Kluyveromyces lactis: one gene and its partner. The protein of the gene in region 1 interacts with the protein of each later gene in a biochemical or structural test. Links are inferred from orthologs where the notes say so. Each region holds a gene or a part of one and is shown on either strand. Other genes may lie near its edges. The genes, in order: SVF1 and CKA2.

Region 1 (3,331 bases):
TTCCTCCTTGTAGCAATTACCAGCTTCGCTGAGACTAATGGCCGAGATACCGTTTAATGAATGTGCTATCTATTGATACAAACCTCGTGCGCACGTGACTTGTGCACTTTTCCGGTCCTTTTTTCCCTCACATAAGGTGAGGCCTTTTTGGCCCTTTTCCAGTGCACTAAAAGTGGAACTCCAGATGGTAAGACTCCAGATGGGGACCTCGAGAAGGGGACCTCGAGAAGGGGACCTCGAGAAGGGGACCTCGAGAAGGGGACCTCCAGACGAAGAACTCCAGACGAGGAACTCCAGATTGATCTCGAGATGAAAACTCCAGACAGAGAGGCCTCAAAAAACGGGACTCCAGTTTCGCTATTGTACGTTGCGGCATATATTCACGCATATTCGGATTAATTAAGTCAATCGGGTATTTCAAGCAAACAAAGCTATTCCACTAAAGTGAGCGAAAAAAGAGGGAAATATATTACTTTAAAACTAACTAACTAGGTGAGTAAATACGGTATTTCTATAGTACATGCACGCGCTCACGGAATACTGTCGAAAAGAATTTGGGGGGAAAAGTAATAGTGGTTTGCAAATATTAGTGATATGATTATTGTTATTATTATAATTATTATCGGTGTTAGTATTATCTCTTTATCAAAGTAGTAGGTAGAACAGTGCTGGAGGAGAGACGTTGGGGTTAATCAACGTGTGTTGGTATCTAATAATAAAGGATGAGAAAGAAAAGAATAGAAAAATAAGAGTGATATATTAAAACGTTAAAAATTGATGAAGGGAAGCACTTTTTATGAGTAAGGTTCTAGTTTTCATCGTATGCAGATTCTTCCACTTCAGATGATTCTGAAATGAAAGTAATTTCGCACCACCCGAAACCTTTCGATTCCTGGTCTTTAATAGTTAATTCGAAGTCGTCGAAAAACTGGTAGATATACGGTTTGGTACCAGCGACACCAGAAACGATGTTCTTGACAAAAGTTGGAATCTCAGCCATGACGTCGACTCTTTCCACCAGGTTATCCAATTTACCCTTGACGATAGTGTTGAATGGATCAGCAGATTCAACGTCATCGTCTTTGATGTCGGCATTGATACCGTTAAAGGAGACAGAGATTTCCTTTGGTACAGGCCATCCGACAGAATCGACTTCAGGGTCGATATATTCAGCATCGTTATCTACTGTCACGGATAAAATGTTCTTGGTGTCACATACAATCCCGATATTTACCGTAGTGTTGGCGTATGATTTAGGCGTGGTGAATTCCATAAGCACGGCAGTGTAGTCCTCTGATTGGAAGTTTAAAAAGGTCCAAGATTTGGCAGCATGATGTGGTTTCATACCTTGCATAGCGAAAACGAACATGGAATAATGTTTCTTTTCTTCTGAAAACTGTAAATCGATCTTGACATTAGTTTCCTCATTCTTAGCAGCAATCTTACCAGATATGTGGTTTCTTGGCCAGAAAACATGTCTCATACTACCCCAAGGTTGAGTAACATCGTCACCGTAGTAAGTGGATGGATCTTCACCGACTTTGACACCGTCAACTGCTCTACGGATGGTGAAATCCACTTCGACGTTTTCGTCCACGGTAGACTTGAATTGCACTTCGGTACCTTCTTCGTTCATTACAATAGATAGATTGTCAGCGTAGAAATTAGTTCCCTCTATTCTGAAATTCTCTAACTTCACCGATGTCCAAATTTGATCATCTGTATTTTCCTTGTGGTAAATCCTGAAAGTAAACTGAGCAGTAGTATGCAATCCAATGATGTTGGAATGGATCACTTGAGCGAACCCAGTGTATCCAGTTTCCAGATCAGTAAAGTAAAAAGTTGATGTCTCAACGTTCGTGTAGTCTGGATTCCTCCACTCGAAATCCTTCGTACTAGTAACATGGAATGGCTGCTTACCCTTAACTCTTTCAGTACATGGATGAATGTACTCTTGGCCATATTCTGGCTCAGCAATCCCTGTGACGGCACTAATACCACCTTGAATCCACTTCAACATTTCGATAGTGAATAAATTTGTAGGCTTAACTTTCGATGCAAACTCGAGATTTCTTACAGTAAAGCTATGCTTGATACTGTGTGCGTAGATGTGCGATGTTCAAATGACAAAGAAATAACTCGCTATTTTCTATGACTTACAGCAATCTAATAAATCAAACAAACCGATGAGAAGGTTTGAGACTGAACTTACTCTGTAATTCACTTATTAGAATCAATGAAATAGAAAAGAAATAGAACGCAAACCCGTACAATAACTATAATCAATGACTACTGGACTGGTTCTGATGCGCTGATAACGACTGTTTTTGGTATTTGTCTCGCCCCCCTCGTTTACTGTTTGTTGTTTGTTGTTCTCTAAGTTTCGTTTCTTAAGTGAGATGAGTTTTGTTGATTTTTTTTCTTTTTCGTATGGGCGAAACGAGCTAGTCACGTGATCTGATGTTTTACGAGGAGCTTTGACCCTATTAGCACCAATAAAAAGCATTTGGGTTCCGTACCATCACTTGGTGGAATAGATCTCAGATGGGGGTCAGTAAACAATGCTGATGGGCCCTTGTAAGCACGGCATCAGTGCTTGGCAAATAATAGCAACTGTTACCCGGATAATACACGCATTTCCAAAATGTCAACAAACCAAAATCACCGAGAAACACGTAAGAAACTGATACATGATCCATCGATGAAGCAGGAAAAATACCCTATTAGCGCTCTATCTCTGGTCCATACCTAGTTTATACCTGCTTGAATCAATAGGACGAGCTGCGGTAGCCTTTTTACCAGTTTTTAATTGGATAAAATGCTGAATAAGCTTAATGCTAATAAGAAGAATAAGAAGAAAGATGGACAGAGCACCTTGAATATGTTCTTCAAAGTGAAGAATAAGCCCGCATTAGAATCATCTTCAAGTTTTAATTCACACTTCACTGAAAAAACTGTTTCTCCTCCAGTGAAAGCATTGAGAACACAGTCTGTGCTTTCGTCTTTGCATTCCCAAGGGTCGTTTGAAGAAGAATCAAATGATGATTTCTACAGTCTGCTACGAGAAAAGAAACCAGTGAAAAACTTTAAGCCATCATCTCAAACGTTCCTATCATCGTCACAGTTTCAATGTCAGTCCGGTAGTTCCTTTTCGTCCCAAACTTCAACAGTATCGGGTTACTTTTCTTCCACAACTGCAACTGCAACTGCAACTGCAACTGCAACTGAATCTAGTTGGCAAAAACCTAAGCTGGAAAGAACATTATCAGGAGTCAAGAGAACGTATTCTGATGTATCAGATGGTTCACAAAGTTCTTCATCTTCAAATGCG
Region 2 (3,069 bases), on another chromosome or scaffold:
GTAATCTGACTCGCCCAAGAAATCTGACCTCTTAAAAAATCCCATCCACTAACACAGCATACTACACGAAATCCGTCAAAGGTCTGGGATCTTTACGCATTTGATACCAAAAGATTGTTTTTTTCCCTGTGATTGAGAAATATAGACTAATAATAATGGCATTTTCAATTCTCATCACTGAACTTTCACCGCAATAATAGTTTCGATCATGGGTTTTTGTAACTATTTCCACCCTGTTTCATATTCCTTTGGTCTATTTCCTTTCCTACTTATAGTAGTGTCTCTCTCTCTGCGCCTGCGCTAGTAAGAGCCTTTTCTTTCAGGTTTGGTAGCTATTACACCTATTAATTATATATCCTTTTTAATGAATTAACGACTATCATAATATTACATCTTCTTTAAATCTTAAGCAAAAGAGACATGTGTTTCTGTCCTCTTTTTCAGGTGTTGTATTAATTATATGTTATTAGTATACATGCTTTTAATTGGAAAGCAATCAAAGACAGAAGAAGAATCCCCCAAAGTTAACCATAAATGGAAGATAAGAGGGAAAAGAAAATTTGATGATAGAGAGATGAGAAAACAGATATATATTACCGTTTAGGCATACACTATGAGAAATCTTTTTTGAAGAATTTATGCTCCATGGCTTCTTTTGCAGTTAATCTCTCTTGGTGATCATAACGTAGTAAATGGTCGATCAAATCAATTATTTCGTCCACAGCCAACGGCGTCTTATCATTGGCGAAATAGCTCCATGGTTTCCGTTCGTAGTTCTTCATGATATCGTTGTATTCTGCAGGAAGATCCAATCCGTAATGTTTCAAGTAATAGAATAACTCCTGCGTACCAAGTACCTTGGCAATTTTCACCAATTGATCTGCATTCGTGCTTCCTTTGAAAAATGGCTCCTTCTTGAAAACAATAGCTGCTATCATACATCCGACAGCCCACAAATCTAAAGAGTAATCGTATTGGTTTAAGCTCACCAAGAGTTCAGGTCCCTTGTGATAACGAGACGCCACCCTGATGTTATAATCCACTCCCGGATGGTAAAACTCTGCTAATCCCCAATCGATCAACCTTAGCTTACGTTCATTAGGATCAATCATGACGTTTTGAGGCTTCACATCACGATGCATGATACCCATCGAATGACAATAGTCTAAAGCAGTTAACAATTGTGTGAAATAAAATTGCGTATCCGATAATGTAAACGATGGATAAAGCGTACGGAAGTCGACATTTTTCACCTCTTCAAAGATCAATGCCGGGATTTTGGATCCTGGATCTTGAACAATATCCAATAATCCAATTATATTAGGTCCCCCTGTCAAATTAGTTAACACTTTTAACTCTCTATAAATTTTCTTCATCTTCACTGGCTTGAGAACCTTGATGACGCATGGTATATCGTTCAATACAGATTTCCCTTTGAAAACTTCACTGTATTTACCACGACCAATCTTTTTTATCACTTCATAGTTCGAAATCTTACCCCAATCAATCATCACGCATTGTTCATAATCCCAGTACTCTTGAGGGCGTTTCTCACAAGCATCCTGATACACCCTAGCAACGCTATAAACTCGTTTGCTCTTCTTATTCAACGCAGAAGGTTGTAACGTCGACATGATGAGAAGGAAATCAAAAAAAAAAAAGAGATGACCTCCCTTTTCCCGTTTTCAAAACTTAGAGTCTGATGTGATCCAAAACGGTACTCTCTAGCCTCTGTAGTCTCTAACCACTTCCAACTTCTGGCTGTCTATTGTTCAATTACGTTGAGCAATAACATTTTTTTTCTTTGCCTTCACTTTATTTCAATGTTGAAAACTGAAAGCATTTTGTTTGGAGCCGTGAAAGCGTCGAGAGAAAAAAGATTCGTATGGTAACAATGGATATAAGCTAAGCTTTTGCACCGTGAACCACAATACAACGGCGGACTTTCATATACAGGGAAACTAAGACTATAAAGGAGGTGAATACATTGTCTGGTCAGTTTCAAATTGTTAAGTGAAAGTAGCAAACGTGAAAGAAGACCTCGGTAGGCCTGGTATTAGGGGAATTGGACCTGGAGAGTTGCGCGATGAACCTATGACACTAGAAAAAGAACTTATCTTGAGGCTTAATGTGGGTCATAACACTGTGATAAGAGACGTCCAGTTGTGGCGTGAATTTGAGGACGGTGATGGCCAAATTGCAGTGAAAAATTGTCTGGCAGAAGTTGTTGGAATGGTCAACATTGATAAGCTGCCGTTTTGGCTCAATAGAGGTCAACGGTACCAATGCTTCACTACTAGCGAGACCAGCGTCAATTATTTCAGAGCGAAGTTGATGAGACAACGACACAGGAATCGAGGAATTGTATGTAAAGTAACGGGATCCCAAGTGTTGACGAAAGAGCAATTCGAATATTTCCTATTCTACAAGCGTTTGAAGACCGATATAAACGCGTCTTTCGAAATTGAATCGATGGTACTTCACTTATCGACTAAACACGAACTTGATAAGAAATTGATACCGTTATCAGCCGACGAACTACAATCTGTTGTGCCAAGTAACGCTGGAGCAACGATGTCGATCGAATCGATTCTAGAGAAGAACAAACGTCAGCGAATACTGAAAAGTAACTCGTTGAACAAACAAGTCTTGCTCAACGATCAACAGCAGCAATTTATGTCGTTGCTGTCTCAGTGCATACTTTCAGGACTCAGGCTACGAGGAGTTCATCGAACTCAACACGAAAAATTGTACAAGATGACGTACAAGGCGTCTGAATTCGCTTTCAGAGACGAACTCAGAGAAACTGAACCCATTAGTTTTGAATCGATCCAAGACTGTGTAGAAACACTACTGAAACTGTTTACGAAGACCTGACTTTCAAGAAGTACATGCATATACATAGACAAAAGTAAACAAATTTTCACCGCATTTACGTTAATTGAACCGTTCACAGTTCATCGCTGCAACGGATTTTTAGTTTTTTTTTATTTCCTTTGCTGACATATTTCCAGAATATAGTTAACAGACAAGCCACATCGTTTACTTATGCACACAGATGCACATGCC

The links.
Region 2: of the proteins of SVF1 (region 1) and CKA2, one has a biochemical effect on the other in vitro, tested with the Saccharomyces cerevisiae proteins (3 studies listed by BioGRID). The link is inferred for Kluyveromyces lactis from reciprocal best matches to the Saccharomyces cerevisiae genes SVF1 and CKA2.

What each region holds. Positions count from the first base shown.
Region 1 is NC_006040.1:1,145,626-1,148,956, forward strand, and holds SVF1 (Svf1p), read right to left. Parts: upstream 2,021-3,331; coding exon 809-2,020; downstream 1-808. Other genes in the region: RRM3 (DNA helicase), read left to right, coding at 2,819-3,331. UniProt on the Saccharomyces cerevisiae protein: Ceramide-binding protein that may transfer ceramides from the endoplasmic reticulum membrane to the cis-Golgi network membrane, and is thereby required for the biosynthesis of complex sphingolipids. Required for survival in response to oxidative stress.
Region 2 is NC_006042.1:1,518,365-1,521,433, reverse strand, and holds CKA2 (casein kinase 2 catalytic subunit CKA2), read right to left. Parts: upstream 1,635-3,069; coding exon 612-1,634; downstream 1-611. Other genes in the region: KLLA0_F16489g (uncharacterized protein), read left to right, coding at 1-4; SLD7 (Sld7p), read left to right, coding at 2,095-2,877. UniProt on the Saccharomyces cerevisiae protein: Catalytic subunit of a constitutively active serine/threonine-protein kinase complex that phosphorylates a large number of substrates containing acidic residues C-terminal to the phosphorylated serine or threonine.